Linked DNA regions of Struthio camelus. The protein of the gene in region 1 purifies or fractionates together with the protein of each later gene. This does not show direct contact. Links are inferred from orthologs where the notes say so. Each region holds a gene or a part of one and is shown in the gene's direction. Other genes may lie near its edges. The genes, in order: SKP1, FBXO9, CACYBP and MTUS1.

What was found.
Region 2: the proteins of SKP1 (region 1) and FBXO9 purify together in Homo sapiens (co-immunoprecipitation; 9 studies listed by BioGRID and IntAct, with this or other methods). This does not show direct contact. The link is inferred for Struthio camelus from reciprocal best matches to the Homo sapiens genes SKP1 and FBXO9.
Region 3: the proteins of SKP1 (region 1) and CACYBP purify together in Homo sapiens (affinity purification with western blotting; 6 studies listed by BioGRID, with this or other methods). This does not show direct contact. The link is inferred for Struthio camelus from reciprocal best matches to the Homo sapiens genes SKP1 and CACYBP.
Region 4: the proteins of SKP1 (region 1) and MTUS1 purify together in Homo sapiens (affinity purification with mass spectrometry; 3 studies listed by BioGRID and IntAct, with this or other methods). This does not show direct contact. The link is inferred for Struthio camelus from reciprocal best matches to the Homo sapiens genes SKP1 and MTUS1.

The regions. Positions count from the first base shown.
Region 1 is NC_090954.1:3,872,857-3,880,048, reverse strand, and holds the start of SKP1 (S-phase kinase-associated protein 1), read left to right. Parts: upstream 1-4,188; 5' UTR 4,189-4,452; intron 4,453-5,099; 5' UTR 5,100-5,156; intron 5,157-7,151; coding exon 7,152-7,192. UniProt on the Homo sapiens protein: Essential component of the SCF (SKP1-CUL1-F-box protein) ubiquitin ligase complex, which mediates the ubiquitination of proteins involved in cell cycle progression, signal transduction and transcription.
Region 2 is NC_090944.1:34,360,542-34,368,088, forward strand, and holds the start of FBXO9 (F-box only protein 9), read left to right. Parts: upstream 1-4,538; 5' UTR 4,539-4,742; coding exon 4,743-4,745; intron 4,746-7,547.
Region 3 is NC_090949.1:5,138,291-5,145,199, forward strand, and holds the start of CACYBP (calcyclin-binding protein), read left to right. Parts: upstream 1-3,895; 5' UTR 3,896-4,064; coding exon 4,065-4,085; intron 4,086-5,150; coding exon 5,151-5,346; intron 5,347-5,812; coding exon 5,813-5,909; intron 5,910-6,521; coding exon 6,522-6,621; intron 6,622-6,909. UniProt on the Homo sapiens protein: May be involved in calcium-dependent ubiquitination and subsequent proteasomal degradation of target proteins. Probably serves as a molecular bridge in ubiquitin E3 complexes. Participates in the ubiquitin-mediated degradation of beta-catenin (CTNNB1).
Region 4 is NC_090945.1:53,757,210-53,765,036, forward strand, and holds the start of MTUS1 (microtubule-associated tumor suppressor 1), read left to right. Parts: upstream 1-4,825; 5' UTR 4,826-4,992; intron 4,993-7,827. UniProt on the Homo sapiens protein: Cooperates with AGTR2 to inhibit ERK2 activation and cell proliferation. May be required for AGTR2 cell surface expression. Together with PTPN6, induces UBE2V2 expression upon angiotensin-II stimulation.

The DNA.
Region 1 (7,192 bases):
TTTAGTTATTTTGAATGTTGTCAGTCTATCGCTGTCAGATTAGACTCTCATCTAAAAAGTGGACTCCCATCTCCCACTGTATCCAATGTCTTGCACTGCTCTGGTACAACTTGGATGAAAAGCACTACATTCTTAAGATGCTACTGTCGTACAGTTTTTGATGAAGTGGAGATACTTCAGGAGTGTTCTAGAGTGGTAGTGGGGGCAAGAATTGTTTCCTTGTTTGGCTGCTTGTTGCAAGGTTGCTTTGAACAGTGGCATGTGTCTTTGAGCCCCAGCGCTATCTTTCTACCATATTATCTCAGACGAATAATTGTGATGTTTTCTGTTTTTACAGTGAACTAGTCCTAATTTTCCTTGCCTTATTGATATGCCTGCTCGCTTTCAAAAACATTCTTCAAAAGGAGTGTTTTTGCTGCAAGTCTCATCTCCCCTGTGTGCAGATGAGGTTCTTGTTTAGCTCCAACCTTCTCCCTTGTTTTCTAGCACCTAGCTCTCTATGCCAGAACTGTGCTCTCTGGACCCTTGAGTTCAGTCTTTGCAGGGCTGCCTTATCCTCAGGATTTCCTAACTGAGGTCCATGAAATTTTCAAGCTTGTTACCGATGGAACAAAATACAGAAGTCTTTCAAGCCTGATTCTCAGGCTTTGCCAATCCTGTGGCACACTTCTAATATTAAAAATACTCTGTCTTTTTACAGTGTGTGATCTCCATAGATTGTGAATCGCCAGCAACAAAAATCAGCTTCTCTGCCTGCAGAAATGGAGACCGTGAGGCACTTGGGCTGGGGGAACAGTCTCTTTTACCTAAGAGGCAAGAGAAATAGCCGGGAATAGAATCCAAGTTCTGGGAGTAAATCCAGTGCTCTGTCCTGGAGGCTGCACTCGGGTCTCTAATGCCATGTTTTTGCCAGTGTGTTGGTGAAAATTCCCTTCCCCCTACAGTTGTGCAGCTATTCAGCTAGCTTCTGCCTGCAGCCCAGTGATGCTGCAAGTATGTAGGTCAGAGCTCTTCTGGATCTGATAAGCGTTAAATCAAGCTTACACTGATCTTGGTTGCTGCAGTCTTTTCAGGTATTTGCATTAGGGTTAAGCTCCCCCCACCCCCCTTCCTCCTCTGGATTCTCTGTGGTAAAAGGCCCTTACTTTTAATTTATCTGTGGCTGATACGGAGTAAGATTATCTATATGGCTCCGAATGGCAAATCTTCGGTTCAGGATTATTTGCACTGGAAAGATTACCTATGTGTGTAACAATTGAAATTGGTACACCCATCTTCTGAAAAATCTCCTTCTTTGCCTTGCAGGTTTAGTGAAGGATGGGTCTTTTTGTGTTACTAATATTGACTTACTCATAGGACTTTGGCTATCAACTCTGCAGCAGCTTCTGTTTCAGGGCAAAGATAATGAGCATCTAGACTAGCTTGGGAGGTTCATTATGAGATATGTAGGGCACAGTGGGGAGGTAGCTGTCAGTGTGATCATAATATATCTATGACAATCTTATGCCAGTTGCAGGGGGTGTGGTGTTTTTGTTGTAACTTTCCCATACTTCTAATTCAACAGCTAAATTCAAAGTCCACTGTGGACTGAATTTTCTCTGTTACATCTTTAGAACAGGTGGATCAAATATAAAGCATGTCATCACCAGTATCACTCTAAATTTATAACTCATTCGCAGATCATAAGTAAGCATGGAATTTAGCTTTCTGCCTGCTCCGAGACTTATTTAGATTCCTCTTCTGTAGAGAGCAACCCCCATTCCCCTCTACGGAATCTGATTCCCAGTCTGAGAGTGAGCTCATAGTTACTGATCACAAGCCAAATTGGAAACCTTGATCTTTGGCAGCAGCAGGAAAAGGGATTTAGGATTATTGCTTTTGCAGATATGTTGCCCGCAGACCACCTTCTGTCATCTGATCCTCTTAGCCAAGCTGTTTTAATGTAAATAAAAAAGAACAAGCAAGGGGGAAATAAAGGCAGTGTTATTTTTAATGCAGTGAATGTAGTTTTCAGGGTTGGTGTACAAGATGGAGTGACTGAGGAGGAAAGAGGAAAATATGGTATAATCAAAAGGTCACAGATCGGAGGCTTCCTTTTTTTAGATAATTAGGTCCTAGTGAATGGTTAACAGATTGTCTAGTTACCAACACCAGGATCTTGAGGAGCCTCTGTTAGTATCAAAAGTCTCCTATATATAAGCATCACCTGATACTTTCAGATGCTCAGCCAGCTGGTAGGAAGTACACTTCAGAGAAGCATAGCATAATTTAGGTCAGAAGAGACCACTGGAGGTCCTCTGGACCAGGCTCCTGCTCAAAGCAGGGTTAACTCTGAATTTAGATCCATCTTGAGAGTTAGATCAGGTTGCTCAGTCATCTTCAAGTGCTCCACAACTAATGAGCTGCTCGGCATCCTGAAGCCTGTCATACAAGATTCTCAAAATAAGCAGTCTTCTCTCTATAAAATTCCAAGGAACTATTAAAAACCTATTTGAATGATATGACACAATGTAGAATTGTCCTCTGAGCCCTAAGAGGTTTTTTTTGGTTGAGAATCCATAATCCTGAGTCTCCCACCTCTCTGGAGAGGCAAGCCCTAACCAGCAGGCTCCGAGGAACACTATCGAGGCTCTCTGTGTAAAGTGAACCTGCTCCTGGTTTTGGATTAAATACTTCTAATAGTTGCATTCTCACTGGTTCTGTCACTCCGGTGAAAGTAGAAGACTAAAGGTTAAGTCCGGTTAAGTCCCTTGTTAATTTATACAAAGCTGCACATCTCAAAGAAAGGAAAGAAGACTGAGTATCTTAGGGGCTGGGCTGCTACCCTGGGCTGTGGATTCAAGTCTGCAAGCAAGCTCTCGAACTGAGCGTTTCTAAATTCCCAGGAAATTCTTTAGTTTATTAGGTTAGAAGGTATTTTCTGGTGAGTAGTACTGTTTTTTGTTTAATAAAGTGTGGCACGTAACCTGGGCCCCTGAGAAAAGGGCAAGCTGTGACTTACGGTGTGTTTGTGCTCGGCAGTGCAACGCAGTGCTGGTGCTACCACTTTGCTTACAGGTAGACTGGAGATGTATATGCTGCAGTGCTGTGAAAGCATACTCATGTTCTAAAAACATCAACAAAGATTTGGAATAAAGCACAGGGTTGCACAGTCAGACCCTGTTTGTGACAATCTCGACCACTTAAAAGCCACTCCGGGGTGGCACAAATACGGTCTGTGGCAGTGCGATGCTGCACCCAGGCTAACCACTCCAGGTACCTTGGAGGGGGTACCTCTGTCTGCTGTCCCTGCTGAGGGAAAAACTTCAGCCTGCTCTTTTCCTCAAAACCTAATACCTGTCACTCTGGCACGTATTCCTCCCTCGCCCTTTTAGAAAATCTTACCTGTGTCGGGGTACACAGCTGAGGTTTGCTGTTGCGCTAACAGAGCACCGCTTTTGCTGTATTTACATAGGCCTGAGCCCTCGTCTCTGCACACCGGCTCCTTGCTCAGCTTCGGTTTCTGCAGGTCCTTCACTGGGCTCCGTGGTTTTCGGTGCAATTTTCAGCTCAAAGCGCCTCGCGCCGCTTCCCTGAGCGGCCACTGAAGATCGCATGTCATGGCTTTTGCAGGGGAAACGCGAAGACGATTAACAGAGAGCTAACCACACGTAATTCTTGACTTCAAGCCACCCTTGCTGTGGTATTTGCGCTGTGTTTGTCAACTTTCTCGTTAGGAAACTCCAGTGGCACGAAAATACCCAAAGATTTGGGGGGGGGGGGGGAGGGAAGGGTTGGGACGACTCTGAGCTGCTCCTTTTAAGCACAAGCAACGCACAGGGCGCCGCGGAGGTGCGCGGCCGCCGCGCCTGCCCCCCGCGGCCCGTTTGGAGCCGCCGCTCGCCGTGAAGCGACGCGAGCGCTCCGGGCACGGCGCGGAGCCGAGGCCGCTTGGCGCACGGAGCCCGGCCTGCTCCCCGCACCTCCCGGTGCCCCTCTGCCCCGGGGCCGGGCCGGGGCGCGGCGGCGCCTCAGGGACGCGGGGGCGGCCCCGCCGGGGGGGAGGGGCGCTGCGGCCGTTGGGCCCGCGCGAGGCCCCCGCGGCCTATTGTGAGGCTCCTGGCGCGGCCGCCCGCCTGCCTGAAAGACCCGCCGGCCCGCGCCCTCTCCTCCTCGCTTCCTTTCCGCTCCGGTTGGGCCCTCCCCACTCCCGAAGGAAGCGGCGCGGGCCCGCTTCTGTTTGCAGCCCCTCTTTGCGCGGTGCGGGAGCAAAAGCGGGGAGGTTTTGTTCAGGCGGCCGGTGCGGGCAGCCCGGCGGTTGCGAGGCAGCGGGAGGCGGGTCCTTCGCCCCCTCCCTCCCGCACCCCTCCCCCGCCGCCACATAAAAGCGCCGCCGCAGTCGGGTCGGGAGCGCCGCCGCCGCCGCCAGGTCTCGCTCAGCGCGGAGCCGGACGCCGCCACCGCCGCCTCACGGTGAGGCCTGCGGGCGCGGGGAGGGGCTCTGCCCGCTGATGGGAGCCGCCTGGGCCCGGCCCGGTGCGGGCCGCCCGGTGGAGAGCGGCCGCGGTGCTCCCAGGGGCCGCTGAGGGCCTGGGCGGCGGCGGCGGCGGCGTGAGCTTTCCCCCCCTCCCCCCGGCCCGGGGCTGCGGGGCCCTCAGGGAAGCGCGGGGGAGCGGCGCCGCCGGGCCTTGCCCCTCCCCGGCCGCGCAGGTGCCCCTGTTCTCCTCCTCCCCCCCCCCCCACACACCTGGGGCTCCTCGGGCGGCCCCGAGCCCCCCTTCGTGGCGCGCGGAGGTGTCTCTGGCGCAGCTGAAACGCGAGCCGAGGGTCTCGGACGTGGCTTTAGGAAATAGCCGCGGCGTTTCACCTAGCGGCACGGAGGGGTTGGGGGGGACCGGGCACGCATCCTGAACAGCTTCGCGAGGCGTGCAGTTGCCCAGTCGCGCTGTTGTAGAGGGCTGGGCTCTGCGTTTCGGGCTTATGCCTGCCGGTTGCCGCTGTAATTGGGGTTTGTCTCTTGACCGGCTCCCGGCGTGTTTTGATGCTGTCAGATACAGCTTTTGGGACTGGTCTGCTTAGTCACCCTATTGTGTTGTTATCTGTGGCCTATCTGTTTCCAGAGTTGTATTGCAGTTCGTTAAAAAGGACTATTTTCTTCCAGTAGACTCTGCTCTGTGGTAAGAAATAATAAAATTTAGATAAAGGCCTTACCTGTTACGGGTTAAAAAAGCAGTAGGCTAGCTTCATTCTACCTGATTCAGGTCCCTAACGAGAGTCTTAATGCGAATATTCTCATGGGGGTGAAATTTCCTGAGATAGCATCACTCTCTTACTGGCTCAGTTGTGCAGCATTATGTAATCCTAGATACCACGAGCCTAAGAAAGCTCGTATATCAAACTAGATTTGTTCTTGAGTGCTCTTAGCCTGTCGCTGCAAGAACAGATGTTAAATCTGAAATGTGCAGTTGTATGTCTTTTTCAGAGCATCCTTCAAGCCAGAAACTCACGACCATGTTTTAATCCTAATTTTATATGTGTGTATATTATATACATAAATATATATGTGTATATATAAAAGGAACAGCCATGACTGTGTCCCTCCAAAACACACATCATCTTAATTAGAAGTAGCACTGTCATATAAGGTTACATTACTGTATAAACATTAACTAGCTAGTGGCTCTGCCAAATGGAAATTAAAGCAGTGAGGACTTCAAGCTGGTGTGAGCTGCTTAATAACGTATGTTGGCTGGCCTCCATTGGCCTTGGTTTGTTGCAGTACTGCCCAGCTCAGCAGTACTGAGGAGCTACAGAAGGCCCTTAAAAAGGGATAACATGAGTTAGCTGAAAGTAGTGCGGCTTCCTTCGGTTTCAGTAGTTCAGGTTACCACTTTAAGGAGCTAGCATGTGTAGATGTTCAGCCGGGCAGAGGGAGAATGTGTGAAAATGATAATTCTTTGTCCCTAGAATTTTTCTTTAAAAATTAGTTGCAGGCTGCACCTATAAATGTATGCTTTAGAGGTGGTTTTTTTTTTAAAGCAAATAGCTTGTGAGAAAACTAAATCATTGTAATGGTCTGCTGCTAAGAAGTGTTTTGAATGGTAAAGGAATGCATTATAACACTCATCCCAGTAGCCTGTCAAGATCTGATTTATAAAACTTTTTGCAACCAGGCAGTTGTGTTTATCTGGGTCCTTCATGTCAGTTGATTGAAGTGCAGTGATCCCCAATTAGACTTCTATGTGTAGCTTCAGGCAGAAGTTGTAACCTAGTAACTATTGTATCAAGTCCCTTAGTTCTGTTTTTGAGTTGTTGAGTATCTGGAAAGATGCATTTTAGGAAAACTTGACTATTGGTTTATTGATGGCATAATCTTTAAAGTCTGCTGCTGTTTGTATAGTAGTTTGTATCACTGTTTGTTCCAAAAAACTTTGTTAAAATACTTACTCGTCTTAATAGTTCTTAATGCTAACAAGGTGCTGATGCAACTTCCTACTTTGAAAGAGTAGTGTAAGGTGCTGAAAGCCTTCCTTATGGTGGTATATTGTGTGTATGTTTGCTTTGTTTTTAATCTCCTCAGAAAGCCAAGCTTTTTTCTGAGGGAGAATTGTTCAATCCTGAGTAACTGGTCAGTTGACCCCGCTTTGAGCGGAGGTGTGGGGAGTCTAGCCCATCTCCAGAGGTTCTTTCCAACATTGAGTATTCTGTGACTTAGTTCCAAGAGCTAGAAATTGAAAACTGCTTTTGGATCTGACTTCAGTTAGTTATGATGAGTACCAATTGTTTGGATGTGAAAACAAGTGGTGTTTTGGAAGTGTTTGTGCCACGTTAATTCAAGAGAAAGATAGCTCTAGTGTTGGACCGCAAAAGTATAAGCGTTATTGATGCTAATCCATTTTATGGCTCTCTCGTGCTTTTAAATTTGAGAGAGGCTTGTTTGAATTAATGTTAGACTTCTTTCTATTAATTTCTTAAACATCAGGTTTAGTGAATTTAGCCCTGTTGATCCAAACAGTGAATAGTCTGAGCATGCGTGAGTGACAGTGGACTGCTTGCTGTAAGTAAGAAGCAGTATAAATATTAAAGGTAACTTACAGCTTTAAGGCAGCTAATCTTTGCATGGTAATGTGTCTGCAGAATATTGTGTGAAAATAACTGTCCTTCTCTTGTAGATGCCTTCAATTAAACTGCAGAGTTCAGATGGAGAAATTTT
Region 2 (7,547 bases), on another chromosome or scaffold:
AATTCTCTTCAGTCTTTGCACAATGACTGGATAGTAACTGAGAAGCCTGGGCTTCCAGACCTCTAGTTAGATCCTTACTGCAAATCTCAAGCAGTGATAAAAAACCACACAGTATCTGAGTCTGGAAATGCAATATTTATTAATACTAAAAACATTATTTTATACAGTAACTACATTGAAGCGATGGGGCTTGTGGATTTTTCAGCAGATAGGCCCCTAATGAAAGGGTTCCGAGATTGTAATCCCAACAGATACGATGGCTCACAACTCACAGAGCATTATGCTGCCACTGGCTTACCGTTCATACGACCCTTCCCAAGGGACTGTGCCTCTGAAGTGGAATAGCATCCTTGCCTTATGTCAGATAAGCCACAGCAAAACAAAACATGCATAACAGTATCAGCACATGACATTGCTAGTAATAACCAGCAATAGCTATTATGGATAGACCATTTGGCTGATGTCTCTTGACCTGACGAAGGTGTGAAAACATAATATAATAATATAATATGCCTATCCCTCACTGGGGATGCTAATTTAAATGTCCCCTATCCTTTCCGCAGCCACTGATTTTCAGAGAACTTGTAACTGAGATCTCCGAGATCCCAGCTCAGCTGTCAAATGTGACTGAAATAGACAAATGCAAATACTGCCGGAGGATAAAGGGACGGTAAGAAAATTAGAGAGGAAAAAAATAATCTAAAATAATGACAAAAGATGTAACGAGCAACGCATGTTAAAAATACGGTAAGATGCACAGAAGTTAACAGGACTCCTATGGAAGCACAAACGCACTGGATACAGAACACATGTCCACTGGACAAAAGCTAAATAACGTCTTTTTTGGTTAACTAAATCAGCATCACAAAGCTGAGCTTACTAGCTAAACTGTTCTTTAAATATAATTTCCTTTGCAACACTTACGTTCTGTCTTTATCACCTTCAGTTGGCTCATTGTGAACTATTGAAATAAGCTAAACTTTAATCCTGCAGACTGCTTCACGTCAGTGGAGACTCCCTGAAGCCGCCGCACAGAGCTCACGGGTCTACGAGAGGCAGCTTCACACTATCACAATCGGCTTCACATTGTCAGACTCACTTTCTGGCTTCCATAATGTAAATACTAATGGCAGAATTGTCTTGGACTGGAAGAAAAGAGTGTGCTAACACTAAACAGAATTTAAAAAGCCTTGTTTTCACAATACTGTAAAGCCATTCCCCCAATCCTCCTTTCTATCTGCCCTGTAAACAGTTTATTCCACACAAGTGAACTAGCAAAGTCCCTTTAGTAGCAAGCTTTACTTCATTATGTTAAGCAGACTTTCTGAATGCAAGCGCAATTCAAAATTACTATTTTCATTGATATACGCACGCGGGGAACCTCTCTGGTGCCTGAAACGCTGCCGGGCTGAGAACTGAAAGCGAAACCGACCCTCTTCCCCCGACAAACCGGGGAACCGCAAACACACTAACCACCCAGGAAGCGGCTTTTTAACGTTTGTTCTGTGCGGTGACAGTCGTCTCAAGCAGCAGCATGCATAAAGAAAGCCGCGGCTTAAAGCGCACCTTTAAATCGACCTCCGTCTGGCTACCGCCTGCGCTTGTCACCAGAGGCTTCGGAGGTCGCAGGGGCAGCGGGGCGCGGGCAGCGGCGAGCCGCTCTCGGCACGAGGCGCCCGGGCGCCCACGGCTCACCGCCGCCCTTCCGCCGCAGCCGCCGCCGCGGCCCCTCGGCGCGCCAGCGCTCCCGCCGCCGCAGCCGACCTAAAGCAAACACACCGGACGCCCCACGCCTTCCTCTCGCGTCTCAGTGCGCCCACCCCTCGCCATCCCCTCGCCAAGCGCCGGGCAGCCTTCCCGACGGACGCCTGCAGCACCGACGCGTACTTACGACAGATACGTGGGGGGTTCCCCCCCCCCAAACCCTCCTTGAAGCAAAACGGTGCGTAGGGAGCGCACGAGGCGCTTCTAACGGCTCCCACCGGGCTGCGCAACGGCTCCCCGCGGCCGCGGCCCCCAGCTGGGCGCGGGGCAGCCGCCCGCCTTCTCCTCACAGGCGGGAGGCCGCCGGCGGCAGCGGCAAACGGTGCCCCGGCCCCGCGGGCAAACTTTCCGTCACGGCGCGGGGTTTAACTCCCCCCCCCCCCCAAAAAAAAAAAAAAAAAAAAGAGGGCGGAAATCGGGGAGGAAAAACAAGAGAGAGGGAAGCAGCACGGCGTAAGCCCCGTTCCCGGGCGGCGGCCCGGCCGCTCCCCTCCCCCCCCTCCCCGCGGCAGGGATTACGGCTGAACGGGATTACATCGTAATTAAAAAAAAAAAAAATTACAGACATCATCCCCGGATAACTGGCCTCTCTCCTATCTCTGAGAGGAGCTTAAACAACCAAGCAATACAGAAACACTAGTTTAAATTGTTAACGAGTGGCAAATACGCGTTTGTTTTAGCGTTACCGCTCAGGCCTCCATCCTCCAGGAGCTTCCGCTGCATAGTACTGCTCACAGGCTCTCATCTTTCTACCGCTGTAAAGAAGGCCTGACCCTTCCTCTCCCGAGGACCAAAAGCTCTCGCTGGCCCTAATAAGGTCAAATTAACTAATGGGGGGGGCGAAAAGGGGAGGGAGAGGCAGAAAGAAAGGAAACGAGGAAGAAAAAAATTCAGCCCCAAGTAATTAATCATCACATCCCACAGTAATAATAACCCCAAGTCTTAGTTTCTTTTCACACTTCCTTTTCATCTGGGTTTTAACAGTAAAACAAAAAGATACTTCCCAGGGCTTTACAAGGCAGAGTGAGCTGGTCTTTATAACTCAGGAGCATGCCACAGCTCCTCCTCTTGGGCAATATTTTATGTCAGTGAAAATATACACTTATTTAAAAAGACAGTCATTCACTTAAAAACGTTTGATGGAGCTCCAAAAAGGCTTGGATGTCTGGATCCCCCAGATCTAAACAGAGGCTGGTCTTTGGAACATTTACATTTGTTAAACAAAAAAGAGAACCCATACCATTAAGAGTTAAATTCCCCACTACAGACAGGCGTGCCTAACTCTCAGTGAAGCCAGCTGGAGCAGCACATACTTACGCGAAAGAGAATTCAGCTGTAAGTCATCCCTATTACATATTACATGCATATACATATATTTACAGCCAGCCTGATGACAGTTATAGCACTCTGTTTTTCTGTCGTTAAAGGCACAGCTTCTTCATTTCCAAAAAGAAGAGAGAAACATCCAGGCACGGGAAAGGCCTAATAGCTTTGATTCTGACCCCAAACAAGAAGAACCATTAGAGATGTCCAGCTGTAGAAGCGCTCACGGTCACCTCATCTCAAAATCTCTGCCACGCTACTCTCATCCCCACTGTTCATCGCCGTTGCTCCAGAGCACACACTGCAGGAGCCTGCCCGGACCCAGGCGCCTGCCGGCCCTCCAGTCCCGCTCTTCCCTGAGTCACCCCTTCCGTCACTTCCAGCCACTCCACAAGGGAGCTCACAGCCCAGCCCAGCCCCCTCCTTTTGCTACTAAAAATATTTAGGGTCGTAGCTATGGATAAGGGGGTTAACTATAGAATGGTGTACACACAGACTCTGTGTCTGTTTTTTTTTTTTCCTCTCCCTGAAGAAAGATTATAATTCAAATTAAGGACAAAAAATTATTTCAGCCCTATTTACAAAACCTTAGAAGGTATACACAGAGCACGTAATAAATCTCTTCAGGCATTGCTGAACTGCATGGGCAGAGGACACAGGACCACGAGATCCACTCGACTTCTGCAAAGCTGTTACACGCACAGCCACAGCACTGTCCGCTCCTTTGTTACCCTGCTCTCCGTTCATCTGTAGTAGCAGCCCTGGCCTGATCATAATTACACGGGGAACTTCTACACCAACACCAAACCACAGCTCCTGCTAGCGTAGGGCTGAGGGGGTACTTACACTTTTTAAAGAAAGGGTCTCTGAGTATGTTTGCTGAACAGGCAGGGCCGCTTCAAAGCGCCTGCCCACCCCGTAGCTGTGCGCACGCTTGTCCGTTTTTGCGGGCACGGGGGCGAGGCCTGCAGCCCCGCAACGCCGTCAGGCCGCCGCCACCGCCTCTGCCGGGCCGCGCCGGGCCGGGCCTGCCCTTGGAAATGGCGCTGTGGCGCCTGCCGCGGCGCAGTAAACACGGTTACTCCTTACTCCGTGCCCGGCAGCCTTCAGAGGGTTTTACTACGCGCCGCAGGCGCACGAACCGAGACGGGCGGTACGGGCCCGCTCACCGCCCAGGCGGGACTACGCTTCCCAGCGGGCACTGCTCCTCCGCCGGGTTTGACTGGCCTGGAAAGGCGCTGCTGCCCAGCACGCGCCGCTTCAGGACTGGGCGGCGCTGTGGCACGAAGACTACATTCCCCAGCAGGCAATGCGCCACGCTGCTTCCAGCGGGAGACCGGCCGCGAGGGCGTGGTGTGTACTGGGAGGAGTAGTTCGCGCGGCCGGCGCGCTGCGCCTCAGAGCGGCCCGTGCGTCAGGCGGCGCTCTGACCTCGCCGGGTTTGTCTGGTCGCGTGTCTCCGCTGCTCCTGGTCCGCCTGCCCCTCACTCGCCGGGAAGATGGCTGCCGTACGCCGGGCCCGCAGTTTCTCCCGCTGCGTGGTTCGCTTCTCCGACCGAGAACTCTGCTAATTCCCCCCCCGCGGGGAGGACGCACGGACCGAGCGGGGGGCAGAGGTCCCCGGGACGGCGCAGCGCCGCCCGAGCGCTGGCAGCATGGTGAGCGCCGGCCGGGCCCTGCCGCCGCGGGGGGCGGGGGTGGGGCGGCGGCAGCGGCCCGGGCTGAGGTGCGGGCGGGGGCGGGGAGCGGCGGGCGGCCCGGCCCCCGCCCCGCCCCGCCCCGCCCCGCCCCGCCCCGCCGCGGCGCTCCGGGCAGCGGTGGGGGGCTGAGGGGGTGGGGGCGGCGGGGCGGGAGGAGCCGGCCCCCCCAGGCCGCACCGCCCCGCCCCGCCTCGGCCGTCCCGCCGCTGCCGGCCGCACCGGGGGGCGCCCGTGTGTCAGGTGCCGCGATCCCGCCCGGCACACTGCGTCGCGAGGAGAGCGGCCGCCTCCGCCGAAGGAGTTCTGGCTGATGAATGGTCTAGGACCCATCTGGGGGCCCTGAGGAACGCGAATCGTTGTGTCTTTGCAGCTGAGCGCGTCCAGCCTTTCTCTGTCCTCCCCGTCGAAAACAGATGTCATAATGTTACTTGGCAGTTTAAAGGGCTCTGCGGGCCAGGCACTCAGTTAAGTCAGACACGCTAACAAATAATCAGGAGTATTGTTTGGTTCAGTACTGCTTCTCTACCTATTATATTTCCAAAAAAAAAAAAAAAAAGTATCCATGATGACAACTGGAACCTTCAAAGTTAACCCTGTTATGTCATTCAGGAGCTCTTAAAACTCCTTGCCACAGTGACTAAAACTTTTGTTGAACAGAGTATTGCTTCTACCACACTGACAGAAAGTCGAGTTATTTCCACTTTTCTTACAAGTCCAAGAAGAACATTAGCCACCCATCAGTACCGTCCTTGCTTATCCTTCAGTTCTCTAGAGCCTGCGAATATTGTCCTTGCTTATCCTTCAGTTCTCTACAGCTCGCGTGTTCAGCTGGTGACAGTCACCTTGGAGCTGCTTCTGATCTTAGCCTTGTTCTGTTGGAACAAAGATCTGAAATTAAACTCAAGTGGCCAAGTTCTTTAGTAACTCATTGTTTGTTGTACTGTGAGGAATGCAGCATGCTTACCACGTGGTAAATAGTTAAAACTGAGCTGTGAAAACAAACTAGCTTTGCATTGGACAAATAATCTCAAGCTTTCCAGACAAATCGGAATCAAAATGGCCCAGCTGACTTCTTTTTACAGGTCAGAGTCTAACTCAGATGTTTGCTGTTTCCATTTTGCCATCTTGCAGCTTGATTTTCTACCTCTTTTTTCATAGAAGAATTTGCACTGATTAATATATACTACAAAAGTCTAGCTTAAATTTCCAAGCAGAATGAAATTACTGATGTGTATAATAGCTGACTTGGAGGAAGGCCAATAGCATAAGGATGAACAGGTTGTAGTGATTACAATACAATATTCTGTAACCTTCAGGAACTGTAACTACGATTTAAATTTTGTCCGAATGTGAAGGAGAAATCCACTTCTATAAATTACAACCCACTTTGGATTTAGTCTCCTGAGCTGTCTGCTCGTGATGATGGCTAGTACTTCAGTACTACCTCTGTGCTTACTCAGTTGTCCAAGCAAAACCATAGGGTTTCTGCAGATCAGATAAATAGCAAACAGATTATTAACAGAGATCAGTTTTCCAGTCCAGTTAGTTGTGCGGCAGCAATGTGAAAGGACTGCTTTACTCGTAAATCTAGAGGGTTAGATAGTCACTTTTGCTGCTACTGGTGCCAGAAGAAAAGTTTTTGATTTGAGTGACTTCAGATCCCACGTGCAGTCATGGAAGAGGTAACAATGAAAATCAAAACTTCAGTTACAATCAACTTTGTGATGCTTTTTGACAGCTTTTAGACTGGGACCAGGTCTTCACAGAGTGGTGTAATTTTTACTTGGATTGAGGGGACAATTAAGTTTTAAAAGACATTGAATGACATTTTGGAAGCAGTTGGTCCAGACCGTGACCATTTGTGACTCAGGAATGAAGGAGAAGTAGGGCAGTCGACACAGAGACAAGGGGAAGAAATCAAGGCTCTGGATTAGGTTACTGAAACAGTAAGGCTTTAAACACGAGGGTTCAGGCAGCTTCACAAGCTTCTAAATAATTAAAATTCTAAATCTTACCACTACTTTGCTCTAAAATAGTTTATTCACAGACTTAATGGATTAAGAGTTTTAATGGGTGTGCCCTTATGTCCAGGAAGATAGTATGTTGATTTGGTCTAGCGACGACTTCACTAGTCCCTGCATTTTGCAGATAAAACTAGGCTTTCTCTGCCCAGACCAAGAGCTGACTGGACATCAGCCCAGGTGCAAACCAGAAGCTGTGTATCTGTGCGCTCTGCTCAGGCAGAGGTAGGCCTTATTTGTGTGAGCAGGGTGTTGTAATAACGCACTTAGAAGGCATGTGCTTCAGAACTAGCTTGTTCCTTGGCTATCTCTGTTTGTCCAGCGTAGAGGTAATCGCTGGATGCTAAAATACTGTGGTGATAGGACTACTGTAACTCATACGGCATTAATTGCCTGGAATCAAATCCTGGAATCAAAAACTGTGTGAGTCTTTTCATTAAAATACATTTCTAAGTTTTTTACTTCTAGTTCAGGCTTAACTCTTCTAGCACTTTGGAATGCTTCAACTTAACCTGGTTCCTCCACTGAGGAAATTTAAAAGTACAGCCTTAAAAACAGAGTGCAGAAACAGATGCAGTTTCTGTTTACTATAACGAACCTACACTGTCTGCATTATGAATTGTAAAAGATAATGTACTTGGACATCAATGAAAAGACGTTTACAAAGGACAAGCCAGTCCAATAAGGTTGTGATAGCTTGGGGAGCCAGAAACAAGGGCTACCTACAGCAGGACTCCAG
Region 3 (6,909 bases), on another chromosome or scaffold:
CTGTAGTAATAAATAACTACTGTACCAGGTCTTCAGACATAGTTTACTCAAGTTGGTTATTTTCAAGCAGCACTACTGTACTAAAACACAGCGATTTAGCAGCCTAGTCATCCAAAACGTGCGAGTGTTACAAAGCTAATTTCAAACTGTTGGTATAATGTCCTTGTTCACAAGAAGCAACCTGTTCCACAAGAATCTGACAGACATTATGTGGGAGAGCTAATAGGTCACGTGGGTCCTCTTTTCCAAATGTTAGTCTGAAGTTTACAGCACAGAGAACATACTGATCAATATGCTTCCCCTGAAGGCTGCTGATCTAAAAGATCGGGAAATACGAGCTGTTCTTAAGGACCCGATGCTTCAGTGGAGGTACACAAGAGAAACAGGCAAGCGAGCAATGACACGTCTAGAGGAAGAGAAGAATCAGGGAGCAGAAGGTACCAGCAAGAAACAGAAAACATATTTATAACAGAAGCATGGCTAGGCAAGAACAGGACAGAATAAAAGTTCAGTATTCATTAAAGTTAGCAATTAGAAGAATTCAGATACTTTATAAAACCAGTTTTCCATGTGAACAATAGATAAGAGTTGTTACAGGGATTTTTTTTTTCCTATTTAGACGAACAGCCACTGCTGCCTGCATAACTGGAAAAACACACAGCACTTGAGAAGAAGATATGAAGCCATAAGGGTAGAAAAGCTGAAGATAAATATTTTTAACCAATTAGTTTACCAGAAAATATATTGCTTTTGATTAACTTCCACATCACCGTCCAAAGACTGTTTGCCACCAGTTTCCATCAGTTCCTACAGACAAAAGGAACGGCTACTGCAGGCTAGCTAAGGAGGCCAAACATCCTTTCGTAGCCCTTCCAGATGCTCTCTTTTCTGTCCCTAGAGCCAATGACCATTGAAAAACAATATACTGCACAGTGTTTTGTCATCCAGAGAGACTGGATCCGGGTCTTTCGGTTGAATTTGACTATTCCCACCAATCCGCCTCAAGGTCCTTTTTCCCCTTCCTGGCTCAGGAACTGTTCCGATTCTTCTCTCCTGAGAGGAAGACCTGTCACTTGGCAACTTGTAAAAACGTGCACAGAAAACTAAGTTTGTCAGGCTTTCTCTTCGTTCCGACAAGGGGGAACGCAGCATCTGGATGCTACTGCAGCTTCATGCAGAGCAGTGTGGAATGTGTTTTTACATGAGACAAGAGATACACTCTTCCGCTTGTAAGCTGCCACTCAATGGGAGTGCCATGGGCACTGAAAGGCTCGTGACTTAAGGATACAAAATAAGCACTGGTTTTCAAAGAGCCTAGCAAGCGACTGAATTACAGGCTCACTTGCACATGCATTTATGTATTGGTGAAACATGTCATGTTTTCTCCTCTATCCAGAAATTAAATTATAAAGCAATATCAATTTAAATTCTAAAGCTATGAGAATGTCCTAATGCAAGACCACAACTGAGAGGGGAAAAACTCGGAGATTAGTGGTTCAGGAAACATCACAGAAAAGCTGCTTCTTGTCTTAGTGGCTGCTCAGCAGAAAGATCATAAGGAAACAATTCCTGAATATGCAACTGCTCTCAACAAATTAAATAACCATGCCACGGAAGTAAATTCCAATTGCCCATACTGTAATTTCCAGATAAAAATCCACTAGCCCAACTTCAAATGCTATTGCTAAAGATCTACAGGATGACGCTCAGTTCTGTGAAAATTAAACAAAACTACAGAGTTAGTCGTGGAGATTTTTCCTGACAATTTCTCAGCTGCAGCTCTTGAAGCACTGGACCAGAGGGGTATGAGCAACATTTCAGTATATGCTATTAACATTGCATTGTGACATACAGCCTTGCAAGTCCTCAACTTCAGATTTTCTATGAATCTCTGATCTAATATCCTCTTACCTACCCCCACCAATCCCCTGCAAAAAAAAAAAAAAAAAAACATTCACAGATTATTTATGTTTACCTTAGAAGCGGAGAGGAAAAAAAACCCCTAAGCCCATAAATTGGAGAGTGAGCTGGCATTTCTCAGCTCAGTAAATTAAATGTTAAAACCGGCAACCTCTCTTACAGAGAAATCTACTTTTTCAGCACTGAGTGATTGTATACTCCTTTGTGTTCCCATTTTTATGAGGACATTTGGAGGCAAAAGTTGACTCTTCCACTTACCTACTTATAGAAAGATTTCCATCAGCTTCTTTTTTTCTGGGAAATTTTAATGCCCGACTGGGACCTGGGAATACAAAAGCCTTTTTTTTTTTTTTAATTATTAATTGATTTACTAAAGGTGGTGAGAGGCACCATGAAATACTTTCTCCCTGGACCAACTGTAACTGAGGTTGTAATACTCAGGAAGGTCATTTCACCTCTTTTCTAAAGGCACAATGATTGACTCCATATTGCAATTGAAGTGGTTGCTAACTTGTTGATGCCTCTTAATGAGAATATAATCACTAACCCTCACCACAAAATTTCTGGCTTCCAACTACTACTTCCTGGCGGTAGGGGGTTCTGTATCACTGATAATCTTTGACTCTGTAAACTCAGCATGAATGTAAGTAGCTTGCTATAGATGAGTCTAAAAATCACAAAAGGATTCATAGTTGGTAATTTCCTTTTTGAAAACCCTTACCATAAAGCTGCATAGTATTTCCAGAAGAAAGACTTAACTATTAACAAAAAACTCAACCATCTAAAAAAAAAAAAAAAAAGCTATTCAAAGCATTGCAGTTCCAGACTCAGTTTATGTCAGCTCCTTACTCCTAAACACACGCACAAGACAACCTCTGCCATTTACAACACGCAAGCTTTCCAACCTTTGGTGCACTGTAAATTGATGAGGTTCACTTATTACAAAGGCTGCATACGTTCTAGGTTACTTTCTTTTCAGAGTACCTCATTGCCAAACATTGGCCTGAGTCGGGTAAGGCAAAGAGAGAGAGACGAGCTGCTGCTGTTGGCATCATGCTGGCATTGAGGTGACCTGCCTGTTGACGCTTTTATGTTTTATGCAAACAGCACTCTGGGGCTCGGTTTAACTGGCCTGATCCTTTTATGTGCCCACAGCTAACATAGCGCAGCTATAAAAGAGCGCACCGTTGCTCAAAAAAAAAGACAAACCAAAGAACAGTGTTTAATACAAAAGCTCACCAACGCCAATTAGAGCCCAGCAAGCACTTCAGGCAGGAGCTTGAAAGCTTTACTGGCACTTAAAGAGATTCTGGCACACCAGCACATGTGGCTGTTTTCCGTACATGAAAGACTTCCTTACCTAGCGCAGGGTTACAAAAAAGATTGCAATATTCAGAAAAAGCATATTTAGGCAGGCTGTTTACGGTCCTGTTTCCCAATTACACTAAACACAGACGGAAGGGAGGAATCCTGATGTCAAGACAGAGACTCGGCGAGGCCCTGCCCAGCCGGGCACACAACGCGTACGGGCAGCCCGCCGAAGGCGCACGGAGAAGCGCGGCCCGCCGGTTCAGCCCGCCACGAACTCTGCCCACCGGCCGCGGCCTCCAGCCTCCTCAGAGACCGCCCCGCCTCTCAGATCGCTGCCTCCCCGGCCCCCAGCCACCGCCAGGGTGGCTCTCCCAGCGCCGCAGCGCCAGGCGGCAGCGCCAGGCGGCAGCAGCAGCGGCAGGCGGAGCCCTGACCGCCCGCTTCCTGCCGTCAGGGCGGCGCGCCCTCAGCCGGTCGCTAACGGCCGCGTAACGGCCGCGCCAGCCCCGCCCCTCCCCCCACGCAACGGGGCGCACGCGCAGCCCCGCCCCGCCGCCTGACGCGTCGGCGTGTCACCATAGCAACGCCCGTCCGCCAGTGACAGGGGCCGACAGCGGCGCGCCCCTCTCCTTCCGCAGGCGGAAGGGGCGGGGTTGGCGAGGCCGCCTCGGTGGGGGGGGGGGGAGGGCGCGTGACGCCGTTTCCGGCGCGTGAGCGCGGGGCGGGGGGAGGGGACGCGGCGGCGCGAGGCCGGGAAGGTTCCAGAGGGGCCGGTGGGAGCCGGAGCCGCCGCCGCCGCCGCGGGGGCAGCAGCGCCGGGCACGCGCCGCGCCATGGCCGCCGCGCACGAGGAGGTGAGGGGCGGCGGGAGCGGGCGTCGCGCTGAGGGGCCGCGAGCGGCGTTGGGCGGCCCCGGGCCCGGGCCGGGGCTCAGCACAACTGTGCGGCTCCTTATTTACTTATTTATTTATTTAATTATTTAATTTTTTGGCGCTGCCCCTCTTTCCCGAAGCCTTGGGGGTGGGGGGGGGGGATGCGCGGAACCTCTTGTTTTTCTTTAGGTGTCTGCCAGGTGGGTTCCGGGCGCCTCTCTTTTGCGGTTGAGCTGCGATTGCGCCAACGTGCAATTAATTCGAGCGCTCTCAAGTTAAAGAAACGCGAGAAGTTTCAAACATGGAGGGAGAAAAAAAAAAAACACGTTTCTGTGCCGGTCTGGTTATTTATTGTAATATTCCTCTCTCCTGAGCAAAGCTAGTGTTTCAGAAATCCCTGAGGATCAGATGTTTATCACGTTGAGTATGTCTGCCCCTTCCTTGAATCGTACAATTCTACAATAAATCGGTCACTTAAAAAGGAAGCGCAACCTCTTGTCGTCTCCCCTCATTGAGAGTTTCAGTGCTTTTGATGCTATTGTTCTACATTTGTTAGATCTTAGAATAGAGAATCTTATTTTGAGGGGGAAAGTAGGTTAATGAGGTACAGTGAGATGTTGCTTTTGATTTATGTGGCTGCAAGGGCTCAGTGGCTGGTAATCTGGGGCATAAGAGACGTTTACCCCCATTTGACCTTTTTCTGAGTCTTCCGTCTGAATATTTGCTCAGTGCTATAGGTCTGAGATCGGGCAGTACGTTTTTAGCAAAATCCAAAACCTGTTGGTGTTCCAAACGTTAAACTTTTATTAATTTCCCCTTTTTTTTAACTGAACGAAGCTTGAAGATTGAAATTGAGCAGTTAAAACCTTAGTGGCCGTGGAGTAAGGGACAGATGGTTTCACGCTGAGGAGGGTATAAAGGGAAGTGTAACTTGGTTTGCTGAATCTGTGTCTGAAACTAATAGGAGTGAAAGAGCCCAGTGGTGTGAACCCTGAGTAGAAAGAGGGGTATCTAATATGCGTGCACGATCTTTTATTCTTAAATCAGTTACAGAAAGATTTGGAAGAGGTTAAAGAATTGCTTACGAAAACCACGAGGAAGCGACTTCGTGATGTCCTGATGACTGAAAAACACAAGCTAGAGATAGAACTCAAGAATCAGCCTCCACCAAAGCTGAAAGCAGATGCAGGAGAAGAAGAAAAGTCATCGCTGGGAGGGTATACAGTGAAAATAAACAACTATGGTAGGATTGCTCTTCTACACAAACGTTAGAGCTCAGGCTTCTGTTTTGAATAGAATGCAGGGTGGTATTAAGTGTGAGTCTTAGTTGCCATTTAGCGTTACAGAGAAACATTCTCAGATGTTTATACCACACCACAGACCCCCCCCAAAAAGCTACTTACTTACAGGCTTACTGCTCTGTCCCAGCCACAGTTCTGTTTGTCTGATAGCTTTTCTTTACTGGAGGAACACGTTAATGATCCCCGATGCACCTACTAGTATTTTTCTATTGCCTAGTGCTTAGCAAGAACGAAAGACTGAGCTTTGGCTTCTCTGCTCGCCATGTAGGTAAAAGGAGAAGGAATTGCTTAAGGTACTTGTCACGTGGAAAGTATAAGAAAAAGTGGGTCAAGGAAACGGCAGGAAAACCAGGCATCTACTTCTGACTTTTCTGAGGAAAGCTAGAACTTTATCTTTCTCACTTGCAGGTTGGGATCAGTCAGATAAGTTTATTAAGATTTACATCTCTCTAAGTGGAGTCCAGAAGCTCCCAGCTGAGAATGTGCAGGTGAATTTCACAGAGAGGTGAGTTCATATTTTTGCCCCATGCCAAGAAGGAGAGCGTGGGTGTAGAGCATTATCTGAAATGCAGGAATGTGTTGTGTTGAATTTTGCTCTGGGTTGCTGTGTCGTGTTTTTTTTATTTTTTTAACTTTAATTTTATTAAAAGTATCAGCTTATTAATTAATTGCTTATTAAAGTATTAACTTTTAATAGTACTTGAGTACATACACTTACATATAGCTCTCCTTAGTGGGTGTCAGAGTATTTTAATTTTACAAATGCTCCTTATGCCTCATCATGCTTGATAGCATATGTTACGTTAGACCTATTTTTTGATGGTGGTAGAACTGAAATGTGGATTAAATGAACCTCCCTCCTTTCCAGGGTCATAGGAGCTCAGTCAGGTAGATGTTAGAATGCTAAAGATCTTGATTTGTTGTGAACTCTGCATAAGTCCTTTTAAGTGCTCAGTATTAAATCCAATAGAAGATTTGAAAGCCTGTTGGCTTGCTTTCCCAAGAAACGTGCCTGCTTAATGGTTTTCAGACGTTGTGTTTGATGACAGGGCTGAATAGTCTTACACTGCTTGGAATTTTTGTTTGTGCCTTTCCTCCCCTCACCTTCTGGCTCTAGGTCATTTGATCTGCTAGTGAAGAATCTGAATGGGAAGAACTACACCATGACCTTCAACAACCTTCTGAAACCCATCTCTGTGGAAGGCAGCTCTAGAAAGGTCAGTCAGCATACCTCTTCTCTTGTAGGTACTTTGTAAAGAATCTGAATATCTCTGTATTCGTAGCTTGACTCCAGTTCAACAGATTGAGCATTAACCTGCAGTCCCTCCCTTCTGTCTGTAAAGTCTCTTCAGTGTAAACGTGACTCTCATTAATCTGTAGTTGTAATAATTGTAGAATTATTTTCTGGAATCCTTGGGCTTCTGTTTCAAAAGATCGCGGCCAGATACTGAAGCGTTGTTGATAGCTCTCGAACAGGATTTCAGAAATTGGTGACAATTAAGCAG
Region 4 (7,827 bases), on another chromosome or scaffold:
CTGGCCCTCTCCCCACCTCAAAAAAGATCACAACAGAGTACATTAATCCAGGGCCTGCTGGAATTTTATCTGACAGAAGTTAGCCTCGCAATGCTGAGAACTAGGCCAAACCAGTGAACGTGAACAAATCCACAACACTGTTTTCCCAATTACAGCTAAAAGACAAGCATTATCACAGACTAAATCCACAACAGCTCTAGATGTTGCAGTGTTAAGTGCCAAATTTTGGCACCAGTTTCCCAGCCAGGAGCCTGCAGCTCTGTGCCTAGTGCCCCTGCTCCCTACTGCAGCAGGACCATTAGGTACCTGGGACCAAAATCTCCAACAGACAGCATGAGAAGGCACTTGACGTGCCAGCTTTCTCAGTTCATCTAAAGCATTTAATTCTGGCGTTATGCTGGGGCCAGGTCCACTCTTAGACATTAGCGTCTCTCAAAAGTAGAGCAGGAGGGGGGAGAGGTACTCCCTTAGCAGCTCCGCAGTAAGGCCTCACTCCCGAAGAGTCCCAAGAACAGCACTGAATCCCTATCTCACTTCCCAGGAAAATCCCTGTCACCAGGCCAGAGGCTAGGTGGGAGGAATACCCTTCATTGTGCCTGCTGTTATTCTGAACAAACTAATCCACGTTCATTGGACTAGGGAAGCAAAGCATCACTTTGCATGCAACAATTAAGGTACCTAGCTGGGAGCAGGGAAATTTGAATTTCAATCCCTGTTACAAGACTGCTTTTTTAGCCAATTACCATGTAATATTAAAGTGTACAAGTAGCCATTAAAAGTCAGGAGCAGAAGCCAAGTGAGTTCCCTAGTAACCTATTCAAAACCACCCATTTCCCTGGATACCAACAAGACACAGACTTGGCCATCCTATGCTGCTGCATTTTCACTACTATTAACAATCAAGTTACCTGGTACTAATTCAATGTATTTACACCTGCTGCAATCACATACATCATTAAAGTCAGCTATACCCCTATCTCCGGGTAGCTTTTCTTTCCAGGGCCCTTCAGAGCTACTGCTTGGAGCCTAACCCCAACTACTATTAACTCTTACTGACAAGAAAAAAATAAATATTAAAGAGAGAGAAAAATGTTGCTCCATTCTTTCCCCTCCTCACCTATGCTAACATTTGACTTATAACTTCATTTATCCCTTGATCTGTTCTAATTCTCTCACCTGCTTTATGCCTCCTTGCAGTCTTGGATTCCTTCCCCCACGTTATCTTCTGTCTTCCCTTCCTCTTCCTTACCTAAGAGCTTTTACCTTTCTTCTCTAGGATCAATCCTCTTCTCCCTTTCTCCTTTCTTTCCCTCCTTTTTCAACATTAAGAGACATGACACTTCACTCTTGATCCTACATTTATGAAAATTGCAGTGCACTGATCAGAAGAAGCAAGGAGGAAAAAAAAGCAGAGAAGCAAAAGTCATTTCACGGCTACTTAGCAGCAAAGGAAAGGGCTGTCACGAGGTTTTGATCAGAACAACTGTTTTGCCAGCAGCTTTTGATTAGAATTCCAGGAAAGGGACTTCCAAGAGCAAACTGATGCAAAAAATGTAAATTATACAGACCTTAATGGCACCTCTAGTTCCCTCTCCTTCCTTGAGAGTCCTTGGCCATTTCTTTGAAACCATCTTTGATGGGATCTGATGAACTTTTCCCCCATGTAGTGATTTCACGTGTCATCGTCTACCTGAATTCCAGCCAAGCTGAAGGTGGGAAGATTTTATAGGAATGCCAGTATAATTGCTCCCAAACTCCCTCATTAATATCTCACTTTAAAAGAATCCAGTTGTCATCTTTGCTTTTACAATTGATTTTCCCCCCTTGATTGTTGCCGTACAAAAGGCCTAGACAAACTACAAAACTAGGAAAAATGAGAGATCCATCAAAGAGGAATGGCTGCAGGGTACGCTGAATGAACTGTGATCTTCAGTGGGATAACGATTAACGTGGCAAGCTTTCAGCTGTAGCAATCAGTCGATATTTTCCAGACCACCCCTACAGTGACAAAGACGGAGGCATTTTTAAGTTGTAACTGAGATTAGCCTTGATATATACAGTTGGAGCCATGCCTGTGAACTTTGCTATAAGGCTGACAATGTAAACTATCTATCACTCAGTTTCACATGAGCAGTAATCTAATGGCACCACAAAAATCTCACAATGTTCCTCTCTCCACACGTCCAGCCACAGCAGAGGGCTTCTGCCAGAGGGCTTCAACGACAATACCAGAGGATTTGCCTTCCAAGATCTGAAGCACTGCCCATACAGACCCTCACTAAAGATTGGTATTACTCCTTCTCAGGGTGTCAAAGCCATGTAAAATGCTCAGTCTTGTAGTGTGAGAGCACTCATGCTCTAATCCAGCTCACTAGATTTGCAGTCAGATGCTAATCGAAAGCCTGTGCATAATACCACTGACTCCAGCACGCGCTGGATGAAGCCCATAAAGATGGGCAAGACTGCTTTTCATGGATAGGAATAAGATATTTTGTTTGCTACTACTAAGTTAACCACAATAAAAATAAATAGTTGTCTTTCATGTGGTGACAAAACCAAGTAATCATGCTATACTCCTTTTTTAATTATTAGGTTGAAAGATGCAGTGTCTTCCTGGCATGTTTAATTCTGAATCATATTAATCACACATATAAATAGCCAGCAACTGTAGACAGTAATGTGGGGGGGTAAGAGGCAGGGAATCAATGTCAATGATGTCAAGAAAGAATTTCACGTGGAGTCACCAAATCTGTACTGGATACAGATTCCAATACAGATACATCACGAGCCTCAAGGCTGCTATGTCTTTGTGTATTAGACATGGAGGGTAAGTTTCCCTAGCCTTACTGGCATCTGAAAGCTTCTGCTCCCTGGACTTTACGTTGGCAGAAGCTACCTTTCTGCTTTGTAAAGATGAGTAAAAGATTTTCCCCCTCTGCCTCCTGTTACGGGCAGAACACCCAGCTGAAGGCACTGCTTTTGTGGCAGATCCCCCGTGGGTACCCCGTGGCGTCAGGGGGCCTGTCATGACAGGTACCTTCACCATCAACACCCACAGGACCCCTCCGAGAAAGCCTGAACTCTGCCATCCCTCTGACCCCATGAGGACATGTTTTAGGAGGAGAAGTTTTAGTAGCACAGCTCACAAAGACGGGCAGAGGCTGTCTGCACATCTGCACGCATACTTCAAGGTACGCTACAGCAACCTTAGGTCACAAGAAACACTGGCTGCTAGAGAGCAGTACTATCCCGCGAGCCTGCCTAGGAATGACATCCCTCTTCTTTCACCTAGGATAAAGGCCAGAAATTGTGCTCCCTTCCTCTGCCTCTCCTTCCTGTCAAGTGAGGACTTTCTACAGGGAAATTTTATCCACTTCTCCTTGGAGAGGGAGACTAGTCCTCCCAAGAAAACAAGTGATGTTTATTAAGACTGTATGAAGGATTTGTTCATCTGGTGTCCTTCACGCGAACAGGATCATTTCTGACAAAAAGGCAACTTTTTTCACTCCCATTTGCTTTTAGGCACAACACTCCTCCCAAATGTGGCCGCTCTCTCCCTCCCCTTTCCCCAGGGTCCTTCAAGCGCAGGAGGTGACTTCAGGCGCAGGACGTTAGTAGAGTTAGGTTGTTTGATACAGTTCCACAAGTGGACAAATCCTGGAGGGAAGCAGAGGCCATTTACAGCCAGGAATTTAAGCACCAAAAAGTGGCATAAAGTAATACTGAGGACAGAGTGGTAAAAGGTGGAGTTAAAGCTGTAACAGTTACTATTAAATTCAACCCCTTTGTAGATGCGTAGTATTTGCAGTCTCATTCTTAATAAGCATAAACTATAAGATTAGTGCATGTCCAACATCACACAGCGCACGCCAAAACTGAGTCAGAATTTCCTGAGAACTTCTCCCTTTACAGCCACAGCATTGCTCCAGCGTTGCTGCACCCCATTACGCTGACCTCAAACACACAACAGCCCACAGCTGCCCCCAAGCAACAATTTGCATTTTCTTGCTCCCTCATTGCAGCCGGGAGCGACGGGCCGGGCCTGGCCGGGCCAGGTGCGAAGGCCCAGCGAGGCCGCCGGCCGGGAACGTGGCCCGACCTGACCCGCCGCGCTCATCATTTACCGGCGGGCAGGCCACGAGGCTGGGGCAGAGCGCGGCTACCTTGCCAGATGCCGCGACTTTTCACCCCGCGCGTGGTATGCCAAGGCCACACGTGCTTCAGAATAAAAGAAAAGAGGTTTCTGCAGTCATCAGCTGCAATTTTAAACTAGCGCACCTTGGACTAGGTGCGGCAAGGTCGCCAGCTTCGCGCGGGCAGCAGCAGGAGGCACGAAGCGGGGCCCGGCGGCGTCCGGCCGGCAGTCACCCGCCTTGGCCCAGGCCGCGGAGGGAAGGCCTGGCCCGCCGCCCGCAGAGCCCGGCACGGGGGACGCCCTCGGGGGAGCTGTGCCAGCCGGCCCACCGCGGTATTTTTAGTTGTTGGCCCAGTTCCCTGCCAGCAACCTGCGCCTCTCCCCGCACCGCACCGGGAACCCCCCCCGCCCCGGCTCCGCCGTTTCTCCACGCCCGCCCGGGGCGGACAAAAGCGCCGCCCGGGAGCGGCCCGGTCCGCAGCCCGATGCCAGGTGAGGCAGGGCAGAGGTGGGGTGAGCAGCTTCCCCCCCCAACCCGCGGGGCTGGCGCAGGTGCGGCCGGACCGGTCCGAACCGGCCCCGGCCGGAGCGGGCGAGCGGGCGGGAGCTCGGCGGCGGGGCCCGGGAGGGGGCGCGGAGCCGCTTGCGGGGCGGCTCCGGCGAGAGGCGCGGGGCGGCCGCAACGTGCGCAGGGGCAGCGCGGCGGCGAGCGGAGCGGAGGCGCCGGCGCTCCGCGGGTGCCCGCGCTTCCGCGGGGGCGGAGGGGCCGGCGGCGCAGCTTGGCGGCGCAGCGCGGGTCAGGTTTCCCCTGGCTGCGTAACCCAGCCCTACGCTTAGGGGGGCGCCTAAGCACCGGCGTAAGTACCTACTTTCCCCCCCCCCCGCACTTTAAATCTCTCCGTAACTATCCCCCCCCCCCCCCCCGGCGCGGTGCGCGGGCGCGGCCGTTTAACGGGGCGGCCGCGGCGGGGCGCGGGCTGGCGTTCAGGCGCGCATCGCGGCGTGGGCCCGGCTCCCTCCGTCCCTCAAGTTTTGTGGCTGGGCTCGTGGGCAGAGAAACGGGTCCCTGCTGCTTCCCCTCAGAGACTTAATGGAAAAAGGGTTCGTACTTCTTCTTCTTCTTCTTTTTTTTTTTTTTAACCCCCCCCCCCCCCCGATTAACCGTGCACAGCTCTCCCGGAAGGTGCAACTGGCGTTTGAGCGTTAACCCCGTTACGGAGCACAGGTGCTGCAGCAGCCTCTTTACTGCGCGCTGCCGAAGCCTTTCTTAACGGGCTGAAGTCGCTGCTGGAAGTTGGGGTGGGGGTATTTAGTTTAAACAAATTTAAAAAAAAAAAAAAAGCCGAAATTCCACATTGCCGGTGCGGCTTTTAACTAGCTGAGCACCAGTGTTGTATCTGAAATGTGTAAACTCTAGTACTGATTGCTGTCGTGCACCTGCACTGAGCAAGTCCTGCAGCAGGAGTTCAGACACTTGCAATTTTAAAAGAATATCTTGAATGCTTGCTCCTCCGTCTGCTTCTATTTTTACAACACAAGGTTGGCAAGGGCAGGAGAGCTAGCCTTTGAAAAGGGCATTGAGCTTAAACTTGATACCATTGTTCCCAGGCCAAGGAGAGAGTGCAGATTAAAGAAGGGGTGGGGGGGGGGAAGTAGATTCATGATCACGTGAATCATGAAGTAAGTTCATGACCACAGCAAAGATCAAGCATCCTCTCAGCATCTGGGCTGAGCAGGTTCTTGCTTCCGACGCAGCTCTGACAGTCTGCCACTGGGACTAAGGCTGTGCTTTGGTTTTATTTATTTATTTTACTCCTGTGGTGCAATGGACAGTACAGCTGGGTTAAACCCCACATGAGGGGGCTATCTAGAAGATCAGCTCTCATGCTGTGGCAGGTAACTTTAACTAAGGCAGTTAAATGGTCATTTCCTCCGCGTTGTAAGGCTGGTCATAATTGAAAACTTGCTCTAATTAAATATGCCATTAATAGTATACTTGCTAACAAATCAGGTAATGATTGAACTGTGGTGATTAGGTATTTATGGTTAATAGTTGTCTGCTATCTCTTTTTTTTTTCTAAATGAACTTAATACATGGTAATAACTCCTCTCCTAATGTGAGGAGAGGTGAGCTTTTCATATCATGAGAGTTGTTTTTGTGGGAGCAGAAAAACTTTGGCCTGCTTGGTTTATACCACTCAGATTTTCAAAGTGGATGATAAGGACCAGGACAGACACAGTTCACTGCCTGGATTACTTAATAAGAAAATGGGTATGAAAAATTGCTTATTACATGTGATGCGTAGTATGTTTTCCTGTGGAACCACGGTGATGAACTGTAGTGGCTGGCTGACACGACTCTATTCCAGGCCATTGGGACTCACTTAGTTCTCCTAAGGCTGATTATTGTAGACAAATAATAGATTGCTTTTTAAGCTCTGTTTTTGTTTGTTTGTAATGGTGCTTAGTTGTGCATGTGCTAGCAAAGCTGTATTTAAAATTCATATAGTCACTTTTAAAAAATACTGCAGAATTCAGATTTCTTGCTAAGATCAGACTGCCTCAGAACTGTGGTTAGAATAATTATAATAACCAGGTAGTTTTGATGATATAACTTTGTCTCCACTGGGTGGAAAAACTGCGCTAAACATAACTGTATATGGGAAGGTTCTACAGTCTGAAAATATTTGAAAAAATACTGAAGCTGTAGTAGACGTCACCTTAAAACTGACCTCAGGGTATCTTCTTAAGCAATTTAGATTAAGTAAATAGCAAGCCTTATTGTTGGATTCATAGCTTGGCTTCCCACCCCCTTATGTTTTACTTAAGCACTTCTGAGGTCCTGATTTCAGTTCTAAGACTAGATCTACAGTAATGCAATGTAAAGACCTTGACGAAGTCAAGAACTGACAGAGTAATGACAGTTTAAATACACTTGGGGCCCCCACTTCTAACTTTTGTGTTCTGTGGTTTTAAACTTTTGTCTGCAATCATGTATGAAAGAAGCAGGATTCTTTTCTAGGAAGAACAAAGATTCTACAATAGAGCTGGATTATTACAAAAACAAGTCAATTATCATGAGGCTTGTTTTTAAATGGTAGGACTTAGCATTCTGCTGGGATCTAGCGTGTCAGATAGCTTCAGATAGCTATTGATCTTAGCAGTCTTAAAAAAAAAAATAGTTGTAATGGAAACTATGGAATGCAATTTAGCCATCTGGTAATGGAGGACTAGATGGTAATAACTATACATATATAAATTTATAACATACTACATTTTATACATAACATGTTAAAGTGTACCACAACTATATTATGATCGGAGATACTTTACAGTTTGTTTTGAGGAGCCCATGTGAGCAAAAGTGGCCATGTGCCCCATAGGTTAGACCCAGAAGTCTCAGTTTCTATTTAGGTTATTTTGTTTCCTTAACTCAATATATGATATATCCTAATTCACTGTTATATCAGGAAAAACAAGAGCTTTGAAAGTTTATGTATCCCGGGAGTTCAGAGGATTACCTGGCAAGTTCCTGGAGTGATCGGGCTTAGTGCAGGAGTTTGGAGTTAAAGCTGTACAAGGTTAATGCTCTTTATTTTGCTTTACTGGGTTTCTTACAAAAAATGGAACGAGTCAGTGCTTCTTCAGCGTTTATGAAGTGTAAATGGTGGTTTGTTCTACAGTTTCTTTTG